Linked DNA regions of Xenopus tropicalis. The protein of the gene in region 3 purifies or fractionates together with the protein of the main gene of each other region. This does not show direct contact. Links are inferred from orthologs where the notes say so. Each region holds a gene or a part of one and is shown on either strand. Other genes may lie near its edges. The genes, in order: uncharacterized protein LOC100170420, prdx5 and prdx1.

The links.
Region 1: the proteins of prdx1 (region 3) and uncharacterized protein LOC100170420 purify together in Homo sapiens (affinity purification with western blotting; 3 studies listed by BioGRID, with this or other methods). This does not show direct contact. The link is inferred for Xenopus tropicalis from reciprocal best matches to the Homo sapiens genes PRDX1 and TXN.
Region 2: the proteins of prdx1 (region 3) and prdx5 fractionate together in Homo sapiens (co-fractionation; 3 studies listed by BioGRID). This does not show direct contact. The link is inferred for Xenopus tropicalis from reciprocal best matches to the Homo sapiens genes PRDX1 and PRDX5.

What each region holds. Positions count from the first base shown.
Region 1 is NC_030677.2:116,011,508-116,015,632, reverse strand, and holds the start of uncharacterized protein LOC100170420, read right to left. Parts: upstream 2,878-4,125; 5' UTR 2,840-2,877; coding exon 2,816-2,839; intron 1-2,815. UniProt on the Homo sapiens protein: Participates in various redox reactions through the reversible oxidation of its active center dithiol to a disulfide and catalyzes dithiol-disulfide exchange reactions.
Region 2 is NC_030680.2:34,742,885-34,747,096, forward strand, and holds the start of prdx5 (peroxiredoxin-5, mitochondrial), read right to left. Parts: upstream 2,883-4,212; 5' UTR 2,808-2,882; coding exon 2,796-2,807; intron 251-2,795; coding exon 116-250; intron 1-115. UniProt on the Homo sapiens protein: Thiol-specific peroxidase that catalyzes the reduction of hydrogen peroxide and organic hydroperoxides to water and alcohols, respectively.
Region 3 is NC_030680.2:90,370,389-90,374,623, reverse strand, and holds the start of prdx1 (peroxiredoxin-1), read right to left. Parts: upstream 2,852-4,235; 5' UTR 2,829-2,851; exon of another isoform or gene 2,718-2,828; intron 1-2,717. UniProt on the Homo sapiens protein: Thiol-specific peroxidase that catalyzes the reduction of hydrogen peroxide and organic hydroperoxides to water and alcohols, respectively.

The DNA.
Region 1 (4,125 bases), on a different chromosome or scaffold from region 3:
TGGGATCTAGTGATGCTAACAGAGACAACGCCCTTGGTGCTTGACAAACACCTTGTAAGAAAATACCCATGAGGGAAAATAAATGAAAGTGATTATTACTTTGACTGTTTAATAAACATGCAAACAATGTTAGTAAATTTATGAATGGATGTGTCCAGGAAACCCGACACAAAGCAGGGGCTACCAATTGCCCCTCTGGTAACCCGAATGGAAATCATCTGGTTCTGCACAGTGCTCTCATGGACCAGATGATGATCATTCAGAAATATTCACTGCTGTATTTCTGAGTGATTATCCATTTAAAAGAACAGAGTGCAATTCACTTAAATGGATTTGCTTAAATGCCAATTTGGAGTGTTTCTCTAATGGAGAATCACCCTGTACGAGTGCCCTAAAAGTACAAAAGCACTCAGTACCCAAAGAGAAAGCTAGGGAGAAATAAACAATTACACAAATATTTATTTAAAATAAATAGCTATATATATATATATATATATATATATATAGCTATCTCATCTGGCAAAAGCACCCTCATCACAAAACCCATGATAAATATATGAAGCCTATGTAGTGTAATAATTACAATCAAACTTGTACCTTTACTGGAGCTTCCCATAAATCTTCCCCAGTTACAAATCAGCGATGACTGTACAGCTGCCCAGTAAGTCAAAACTGCCCATGCCAATATATCCACTAGATACCCAATCCCCTCCCATTTATTAGCAAACCACACCCTTTCATGGCAGCTCTCTGACAACTACATCAAACTGCAGTGGCGGTGCGCAAGATAAAGGCTGGCTGGCATCCTTTAAGGCAAAGGGCTGCCATTGCTCAACAGCCTGGGAAAGTGCCCAAGAGATGCTGAAAGGCTTGGCAGCATAAACAATTCTTAAATCAGTTTTTATTAAAACAGTGCACAAAAGTTTTAAATGAGTTTTTCTTCTATTTTTGGTGTATAATACCACGGCAAATACTTATTACTTTTTCACTATATGTCATCTTTAATAGACAGTTGCCCATTAAAGCTAAATTTTAGTATGTTATAGAATTACCTATTCTAAGCAAATTTTCAATCGTCTTCATTATTTATTTGTTATAGTTTTTTTTTTTTTTATTATTATTATTTGCAACCTTCTTCCAGCTCTTTGCAGTTTTCAAATGGGGGTCACTGACCCCAGCAGCCAAAAAAACCCCGATTGCTCTGTGAGGTGACAGTTTTATCGTTACTCTTTGTAACTTTCTTTTCTATTCAGGCCCTCTCCTATTCATACTTCAGTCACTTATCCACACCACTCCCTGGTTGCTAAGGTAACTTGGACCCTAGCAACCAAATAACTGCTGAAAATTCAAACTGGAAAGCTCCTGAACTGAAATATCTAAAAAAAACTACAAAAAAAAAATAGAAGAAGACCAATCGTAAATTGTTTCAGAATATTACTCTCTATATCATACTAAAAGTTAACCCAAAGGTGAACAAGCGCTTTAAGCGAGTCTTCTGGTTTCCAATAACCATGAATGAGGCTCAGGAATGTTAGCATTATTTGAGAAGCAAATCTGTCAAGCAGTTCAACTTAACTGTGGAAAATGATCCCAACAAATTAACATCTATGAAAATTCTATGGAAAAACTGAAGTGTGTTCTTAAAATCATTCTTTCTTGCATCCATTCTTATCTTAATAGAGGTGAAATTCTAATCCAACTAGTTCACCCAACCTGAGCCAGTCACATCTGAAAGTACCCTTTTTATCTCCATGAGGCCTAAACCAGAAAATATTAAACAGGATGAATTTTGAGCAACATAACCTACTCAGTTTCAATTATACAACATTTTCTTTTATTTCTTTTAGTAGGGTATGTTGAGAATGCATGGGAGTATGCAATTTTTAAGTCTTCTTCTAGATAGTGTGCTACTCGGTAGCAATTAAACCAAATGCAGGTTAAAAGTGAACCCTTGAAGATTTAGATATTGGATTACAAACTGGCCTAACAGTGTTGATGTTGATTCTGCTTGAATCAACATCAAAATGCAATCTCATCCTGTCCTGGGTCAGCTGATTAACCTCTTACATACTGACTGGCATTATCACCCAAGCTGTATTTCTTGTTAGGAAGGTCAGCGCTGGTGTACTCATTCAAAACACTTGTTCTGAGGACCCTGATCTGGAGCAGTGTTAATATTAGTCTTTTAGAAAGAAGTCAAATTAATGTGTGTCGGAAAGCCTTAACTAGTTAACAGAAAATGCTGCAATAGTGCAAAGTTTGCCCCAGGTAGAATACCCATAGCAACCAGTCAGCAGATAGCATGCATAGGTCTACTGCAGTTTGAATAATGAAAGGAAACATTTAATAGCTTGGGGAGGGTCAGAAGCCCTAAAGCAAACTTTGAACCTACTTTTGCTTTGGTTAGTATGTTCTTTGTATTTAGCCACCCAAAGTGCAAAAAAAACCATTTTGAAATGGGTAATATACGTAGACTACTAGTTACCTAGCTATTTTACATTGGGTCAGTAATTAATTTAGGATGAGGGTTCCTTTAAGTGCTGTAGCAGCCACTCTTCCCCTACCTACCACAACTTTAATAATCCGAATATAAACGAATAGGAACATCTGAATGAATGTTATTTTTGGGTTAGTAGAATTCAAACGGAATGTGTTGCTCATGCTGTTTGCATTTGCCAGCCATGCTGAATAAGGATGCACTAGCTCCTCTGTCCCCGTTTCCCCTCATGCTAAAGGAAAATAAGAAGCCTGTACTTTCCAAGCATCTTTCTCAGTCAAGCAACTTACAACGTTCATGATACAATTAATTGCTTACCAAACTTTCAACGTGTCGAACCATTTTGGACAGTGGCGACGGCCGACTTCTTCAAACTCAGCGTGACACAGCAAAGCACTAACCTCAGGAGATAAGTCTAGCAATTACCGGGAGGGGAGGGGCCCGCGAATGGGCGGGGCTAGTGTATAGCGTATACAACAATATCTTTCTATTCTAGCAAAGTAAAAAAAGGCGCGGTCTAGAGCGCAATGGGCGGGTCACTAAGCTATCCGAGCCAATAAAGAGAGGCCAGCGTTGTAAAGGCGTGGTCAAAATCAGCGCCTTCACGTGAGGACTACGCACAACAAGGGAGTCTGGGCAATGGGTGCGGCTAGGGACCACTGGCCGCATTATGGCGTCAGGGGAAGATGGCGGTAGGATATTCCGAGAAGAGGGAGTGGACTGTAGGAAATGCGCCAAGTTCAGTAAGGCTAGAACAGCCTCGTGTGAACTGGGACAAGTGGGAGGAGGCGCGTATAACGGTTCCTAGCGAAGGGGCGAGGTTAATAGCAGAAAATTACTCGTGACTTGGTTCCCAAGGCGCCTTGTGTAGCTTAGTGCCCGCTTTTGTTGGCGGATTTAGAACGTGGCTGCTGCTGCTCGCCTCGGTGTTTTATAAGCAATAAATGAATTGGTACTATAAGATTATTCGGGTTTAGCTATGGTATGAAGTTAACTAACTGAGGTCAAAAGTAATAGCAACGTGAGTTAAAATGAAATACAGGAGTTATTTATTCCTAGAAAATGTCATGTGGAGAGTCAGAGTTCAGTGTGGGTCCATTCATGTCGGTAGTATAAATGTTGTTGCCAGTGGCTAATTTTTGGGTACATATATTTTTATTTTCTTGGGAACCTAAATAGAAATTAGCTGTATCTATATTTATAGGGGGTATCTATACACTTTCTTTTTATAACTGTCCCTGTTTAAAAGGAGCAGATAAAAGGTTATAGGGTTGCATTTTTTATATTTGCTGATGTTATTAATAGCCAAGAAACATAAAAGCAAGCAAGTAATGGTATAGGAACCCTTATCCAGAATGCTCAGGGCCCAGGGTATTCCGGATAAGGGGTCTTTCCTTAACTTGGATCTCCATACCTTAAGTCTAAAAAATCAATAAAATATTAATTAAACCCAATAGGGTTGTTTTGCATCCAGTAAGGATTATTTATATCTTAGTAGGGATCAAGCACAAGATACTGTTTTATTACTACAGAGAAAAAGGAAATGAGTTTCACAATTCTGAATTATTTGATTAAAATGGAATCTATGGGGGACAGGCTTAATGTAATTCAGAGAACAGATTTCCAGA
Region 2 (4,212 bases), about 56 Mb from region 3:
TCTATATGGGAGGGTAACTTACAGACACAAGTAGGCAAATATAAGTGCTGTAGGTCACAGTGGGTGACACTACAATATAAGTGCCATTTCCCTGATCATGCTTCTCTTCCTTTACCTTGGAGCAGCCAGGAGTGAACGCCCCCGGGACACCAAACAGCACCCCCTTCTTGTTAGCAAACACATCTCTGATGCTGACCTTGTTCCCAGGCCCCCCCTCATACACCGTCACATTAGGAAGTTGATCTCCAACCTGCAAGTATTGAATAAAAAAAAAACCCCAATGAAATATTAATTGTCTATAACAAGGAAGTGTACAAAGTTGTCTCAGGGATTTGCCCACAACCGAAATCCATTGTGTAAGTAATTTCCTTTACACGACACTGGAATTTATTAAGGTGTCTCTTCCTCATTGCGACATGTATAAGATTACAGTTACCAGCTTTGGGTAACAATTAGCAGTATCAGGTTGCCACGGCTTATTTTTCTTTCAGTGTATATGCAATTACAGTAGTCCTTCTGTGACAATACACTTATACAAATGGCAAGCAGCTTTAACAGGATGGATCACTGCTCCTAAATAATGAATGTATTCAGAGTAATGGATATTTCATGCTAATATCATAATACTACACATATTAATCTGAAAATTATAAGAAACAACTATATGTTCCTAGCCTTGGGCACATATATGTCCCCTGCAAATAAAGTATATATTGAATATAGACCAACATCACACTAGCCTATGTCTCGGCAGCAAACAGGTGTTCAGGGAAGTCTGACAGGTGGGTGCTGTTACCTGGCACCATGCAGGGAGAGCAAAGAGGGAAGCCTGTGAGCATAAGAATAGTGGATATAAGAATAATGGATTTGCAGCAGGGTCAGAGTGTTGTGTGTAAGGTGGGCTGATGTACTGATGAAGCAATACAAAAATTAGGAAAGTATTGAATACCAGATCTGATCATTTTCAGATTTAGAAGACTCCTTATTCCTGGCCGAACTGAATCCAAACCCTAAACATCACATGACTTTAGACAATGTGACAGATGAAGGTTGATGATTATTTTTTGAATGCTGTGTTTTTTTCCAAATGTTGTTAATTACATATGCAAATTAGTGTTTGGCTTTGGTTCGGTATTTGGACAAATCTGGTGTGGTAGAGTCCCACAAACTGACATGGGTGTATTAGTAGGGTGTTTCACTTATTAACCACCTAAAGCAGATTTTGGGGGAAGGGTGAATCCTCAGCGCATACCCAACAATAAAAGAACATTCTAGGCAACTTTCCAATACACAGTCATTACACATTTTCAGTTGTTTAAGAGTTATGTGTAAATGTCACTGCTACTGAAAAAACTAAAAGTTTTTTTTTATCCCTTTCTGTTTTGATTCTCTGCAAACAATATATTTGAAATCAGTTCTCTGGGTATATTATCCAGCCTCTGCTCTGTTGCTTTAGAAGGTACCAATAACTTTGAAGCATTCATTGTTATATGTATATTGGAACATTGCTTATAACCGTGGTCCCCAACCCGTGGCTCAGGAGAAACATGTTGCTCCCCAACCCTTAGATGTTGCTCCCAGTGGCCTCATAGCAGCTGCTTATATTTGAATTTCTGGCTTAAGGTGGCCATACACGCACCGATATTATCGTACGAAACCTCGTTTCGTACGATAATCGGTGCGTGTATGGTATGTCGGCGAGTCGACCGATATCGCAGGAACCTGCTGATCGGACCAGTTGGAAAATTTTGATCGGGCGCCATAGAAGGCGCCTGACCAAAATTCTCCCTTCAGATCTGAATCGGCATAAGGAGGTAGAAATCCTATTTTTTCTACCTCCTTACCTGCCGATTCAGCCCTGAATGGTGTGTGGCGGATCTTACGATGTTTCGTGCGACCGATGGTCGTACGAAACATCGTCAGATCGCCACGTGTATGGCCACCTTTAGAGGCAAGTTCTGGTTGCATAAAAACAAAGCTTTCTGCCAGTCCACATAGTGGCTACCGAATAGCCAATCATAGTGCTTATTTGGTACCCCCAGGTAAATTTTTCATGCTTGTGTTGCACCCCAACTCAGGTGAAAAAGGTCAGGGACCCCCAGCTTGGAATCACATTTCCTTTCACTATGCAAAAAATGAATAAACATTTGGGTGGAGTTTCCCCTTAATTTTGCTTGGAATTTGGATTATCTTATTGCAGGCCCGGACTGGCAATCTGTAGGCTCTGCTTAAAATGCCATAGACACTCACTTGCTACTGGGCCTCTGTGTACTTGATAAGGCAGAGCCTGCAGTATTTAGAATCTTAGCCCAGAGCTGCGATACTGTAACCAGACTAAAATAATCATTGCCAGGAGTAATTCCCCTGTTGCAATATACAAAGACGTGGAAACCCACTGGGAATTCTGGTGACAGCAGTTTGGCTTTTCAGCATGTTGTATGTATGTGTGTGTATATATATATATATATATATATATCTTAAACTCCAGTCCTTCATTATTTTATACAACAAGTGCACTGCAGAGCTTACTATCTATTAGTTGTACCTGGGCAAGCAGATAACATACCCAAGAACAGTAAGGAGTGAAAGCAGGAGCCACAGCATGCCAGGGAAGGAGGGCACACACGTTTATATAATCTAACTCGTATTTGACAGGCTGCCCAGTAGTATGAGATGTGGAATCCAGCCAATACCCACACAGAGAAATCTCTGCCGCACACAGGACATTGCTGCCGGTTACACTGTGCCAGCGCACATACCTGCCCACTACAAGCCGCTACTCGCTACATACGCACCTTTACAGACATGGCTCTTGTTCTGCTCACGAAACTTCCAACCGCTCGCAGAGGTGACAGGAGGAGGAATGAGACGGGGAGCCGAAGAGCCATGACAACCAAAGTGGGCTGAGCCGATGGGACACGGCAATTCCGCCCCTATAGGGCAGGCAAGGACTTTTTAAAAATTCCTAGCGCGCATGCGCGCACGGACAAAGCCCTTAACCTTTAAGGTTTGACGACGCATGCGCGGGGGGTTTGTTTCGCGGCAGAACGTAGCACTTTTTCTATTCACTATTTCTTTAATGTTAGTAGTGCTGCAATTGGGGTGTAATGCCGTCCCGCCTGTTCTGTTCTTCCCCCAAATTGCATTCCGCCAGGCAGTATGGCAGGTTTGTGCATAGGGAGCTTTGTTGTTGCCGCCCGACTTTCTCTTGCGGCTCTCTGGCTGCTCGTTCTGCCTCCGTGTGTTTCAAATGTGTCAGCAGCCAGCAGCACTTTACTAGATAATCCTACTAATCGGCACAGAAATACCCGCTTCATGTAGATCCTTGTTCTCAGTGCTGAAAAAGAAGGAGAAGCGAGAGGCACACTGATATCCCCCCATAACCCACAGAAAAACAGAGGCACAGTAATACACACCCACAGAAAATGAGAAGCACAGTGATACCCCCCCAGCCAATCACAGGCACAGTGATCCCCCCACCCCATAGGCCAAAAGAAAATCCAAGGCACAGTGATACCCCCCCCCCCCCCAGAAAATCCGAGGCTAAATGATCCCCCCCACCCCATAGACCAGTGCTGTCCAACTGGCGGCCCGCAACCCCCCTCTGTGCGGCCCCCCACCTGTCTGGCTGCTTTGATGGCTTACTCTTGTGTAAGCTTTAAATGGTATCAGTACTGAGATTAACTGCCCCCCCTGCATGGTTCTCACCTCTGATTCAGGCTGTAATCCCTCTGTATTGTTTAAATATGTAATCCCCTGTGTTGTTCACACCTTTTAATCTCTGCATTGTTCACCCCCTGTAGTGTTCACACCTCAGGCTCAGGCTGTAATCACCCATATTGTTCCCCTGTTCACACCTCAGGAGGAGTAGAAACCCACAAATAATCCCTGCACACTACAAAAAGAACATATACTGAGGTGGTACTGCAATTAAAAAGTTTTTTAATATATAGTTATTGTGCAGACTGTAGGAGCACTGCCAGCATTGTGTCACTGTATGCTGCCTGTGTGTGCCATACACACAGGCAGCATAGGGCAAGCAGAGTATGGCACACAGGCAGGGTAGGGAAGGCAGAGTATGGCACACACAGGAAGAGTAGGGCAGGCAGAGTATGGCACACACAGGCAGGGTAGGGAAGGCAGAGTATGGCACACACAGGAAGAGTAGGGCAGGCAGAGTATGGCACACACAGGCAGGGTAGGGAAGGCAGA
Region 3 (4,235 bases):
GGGCAGCTTTTTATATTATCACATAAAGGTATGCTCTGCTGAAAATCTGTAGATTCAACAGAATTCTACACAGCATCTCGGCCTTTTCCTGACTGAGGGTCAATATCTTGCAGTTGATCTCTTGTGATTCATATTCTGTTTCATAGATACCATGAACAAACATTTACAAACATGTCATAGAGCATGGAAGGTTTTTTTAATAACAGGAAGAAATTGGTCACATTATTCTCAGGAAAAGGACTTATCTGTAAAGCACCAGCTATTTTATGTAAGAGTGTGTGTAGTTTACAAAAATAAGGCATCACTTTTTGTGCAAGTGCAGTTAGAACAACTTGTACATATAACCTGAATCAAGCTTTTGGTCTGAGCAATTCAGCACACCGCATCAGCCCAATATGAGGGTTGGCTGCAGCATGGGTCTGACAGCAAGAGATGGAACACATGTATTCATATTCAGAAGTCCATGGTTTGATTTCAAGGTACACTTGTGAGGATGCCAGAATCAGCAGCTGCTCCAGCTGTCTTGCACAGAAAACATATACAGTACGTGATTAAGAACCTGCCTTTTTAACTTACCAGGGAAATGTAGAAAGAAATTGTACAAAGAAAGTGCCAAGAAAGTAATGTGCTGCAGCTAACTAAAGCCGCCGACGTTCAGGTTCAAGTTCATTGGATGGTGAATATGGGCTGATGGTTAACTACAGCACCGTTTCTGATTACACACAACCTGTAAAATGTCTGATCATGATCAGATCATGTCTGATGAAGGGGCTAATAAACACGCAGGGTTAAACCTGCTTGCAAATGACCTGTTGTGTCAGTTCCTTGAGAAGCTTCTACCAGATCACCTGTCTCGATACCTGGCACACATATTGACCTTACAAGTGGCATTTTAAATACACTTGATTGTATGATATGCCCGAGGCTCTAGAGGAGTAAATAAAGCATTTTGGCAGTTCATTCAGAGGAACATTCTGCATGTTTCTTTTTTTCACTGTCCTGTGCAGCATTTCATGTTATGGGCAATAAGGCAATTATATCTGCTATGAATTGTGGCTGCTGTGTGACAAACATGTTGGCTGTGCCACATGCACAAACGTAGTGACTAGTGCAGGTATCAAAATAGCTCTATATCCTATGTATTCCTAAAAAGAAATTCTCTCTTTTCAAATCTGAAGTCTACATTGCCAATGGCTCTTATTCATTTCGCAAGATTTCTTCCTCAACATCCCCAGACTCATATGGAAAGGGGAAGTGACAAGTCAGCGAAACATAACCAAAAATCATTTCTTTTTACTCACGCCAGGAAAATTATACCCCCACCCCACCCAGAGATGCTATATTAAACTCACTCTTAAAGGGTATGCACAACCAAGCCTGGATACCTGTTTACACGTGGTGAGTTTGACAAATCCTTTTAAACCATTGTAGATACAGGCCACCATCTTCCACTTTCAGCCATAGAACAACGCATGGAAATGTTAAAAGCAGATCTTAAAAGGAACAGTAAAAAATGTATATATTTTAAAGAAATTAAACTATAATGTATTGCTGCCCTGCACTGGTAAAAATTGTATGTTTGCTTCAGAAACATTACTATAGTTTATATAAACCCTGGTGTGTAGCCATGGGGGCAGCCATTCAAAAGAAGAAAAGGCACATGTTATATAGCAGATAATAGATAAACCCAGTAGAATACAATGGTGTCTTATCTGTTATTTGCTATGTAACCTGTGCCTTTTCTCCTTTTTTCCAGCTTGAATGGCTGCCCCCATGGCTACACAGCAGCTTATTTATATAAACTATAGTAGTGTTCCTGAAGCAAACACCCCAGTTTTACCAGTGCAGGGCAACAGTATGTTATATTTCAACTACTTTAAAACACTTTCATTTTTTGGTGTTACTGTTCCTTTAACCCCTTTTTCTGCTAAAGAACACTAACCTTCCTACCACTGCCACCCTAGCTACTATTGAAAGCACTGACAAAGCATCATTTTTGTTGGCCTGGTAAAAAAAAAAGTAGCTAGGCGGGAACCCTCATACAGTACGTGCCTCTACTAGTGTTCCTGAGCTGTTATGGGTGGTGGAAAGGTTTCACGTCGGGCAGAACCCTGAATAACTAGTCATCCCGCTGAGGCAGGGATATCCCACACCCTCCAGCCTCACATGTTCTGCAGCACTCGTCACTTTTCCTTTTAGAAAGAAGCAAATCACTAGGCTGCAGGGAAGCCCGGACAGAGAGAAAGCTAGGGAAGCCAGACATTGCAGAGGTTAGAAGTTGTCACGCATACGCAGAGGAAGCTGGCGGCAGGGAGTGCTCTGTGTAACAATGGGAGCTCTGTCAGAGGCGGCACGGAACTATGGGATATAACCCCCAAGAAGAAATCACAAGAATGATGCAGGTGCAGAAGAACTAGTGATGGTGTCATTCATTCTAAACCGGGCCCCAAACCGCGCTCAACCCAAGTTCAAGGCTTTTCAGTATAATCCCACCAAAAGCCCCCACCGGGTTATTACGCAAGAATGCCCCATCTGTTACTGAACTACAACTCACTACAGCATGCGCAATGCTAGGAGTCGTGCTCCCATTACTACTAGTGACCAGGGTTTCCAGGGCTACATTGTGAGCTTTATAGTATGGCAGAAGATAATGTAGGAACACAATAGGGAGAACAATAGGAAGCAGATAGGCGCTGATATTTCAGATTTCAACTTACAGAACTTTAACTCCCGTCACCCCCATCACAACAATAATAGCAGCCGGAAGCGATGGAGAGGCCCTGCTAAAGATTAGGAGGGAGATGTCGCGGGCAGAATGTGTAACTTACATGGCTGTGGCTGTTCCAAGCAGATCAGGCAATGCAGGAGGAGACCGGCACAGCCTTGTAAGTGCTTTATATTCAGCAAATATGGCGAGCACCGCCCGCTCCACTCCTCCCCTCCCCTCTCCTTACTGAAGCATCTCCTGTCATCTTCTGCCTTCCCCTCATCCCCTCCCCTCGTTACTTGCGGCTTTCACACCTTCTCCGGGGAGATTCTCATGTCTATTTTACTCGTCGCACTAATTAGAAGCAAATGAACCTTTAGGCAACTATATAAAGGGTGTGAATAAAAAAAGGTATAACGGGTTGGGGCAGACTTTGGTGTTTTTGTGAAGAAGAATAGTTGCAGTTGCTTCTGTCTGAAAGTAAGTTTCCTTGTTTTCTGTGCTGAAATGTAACACTACATGCCTCAAGCCTCTTTCTTGTTAGCTACTTCTAGGGCCACCATCAGAAACACGGAAGCATCATACCAATAATTGTGCAGGCTGTGCCAGGTACAGTGGGCCCAAGCACAGCAGGGGTTCCAGTGGTGCACTGCCTGCCCAGGAATGGCGGGGGAAGTGGTGCAGCTGCTAAGTCTCAAAGTAAAAAAGTGTTTTTGTCCAGCATCCCCAACAGGGAAGGGGTGCAATTTTCTACCCTGGGAGATCAGCCCAGGCCATTATGCAGAAAAGCAGCACCAAACTACAACTTTAAACCACCAGAGCTGGGCCAAGCTCGCCTGGCACCAGTTGCGTAACTATAAAGGAAGCAGAACTGGAACCCACTGCTTTAGGCTAAGGACTCATGGAGCGATTCAGTTGCCCACAATAGATCTCTGCTTTCACGGCCAACTAACCGCTCCAAAATGGCTTTCCACCTGCAAGAAAACCTTCAGAAAATCAAAGCAATGTGAAGGGCTTTCTACCGCCAACCTATTGTTGCTGGTGGAAAGGCATTTTGGAGCAGTTCGTCACCCACGATAGCAGAGATCTTTTGTAGGGCATCAGCCTAATATTTGTATGTATCTAGCGCCCCCCGCCATTGCTCCCTACGCATGTATCTAGCGCCCCCCACCATTGCTCCCTACGCATGTGCCTCTTCTGCTTACCTCTAGTTCTGGCCGTACCCACCACAATACTTCACAGTTCGTATCTGGTTCTAGTATGTATGTATGTATAACTTTATTTATAAAGCGCTACTTATGTACGCAGCGCTGTACAGTAGAATACATTAATATAAACAGGGATATTAAATGCAGTCAATGCAGTAAAATGCAGTCTTTTGGTACTGTTGTGAAATAACTTTGCTTGGACTGTACAAAACACATCCTGGTTTTTGCCTAGGTGTTTCATGAGCAACCTTTAGTCTTGGAAAGATGTTTTTTCTTGACAGCAAAGTTTTCCACTTAACACCCCCCCCCCCCCCCCTTGT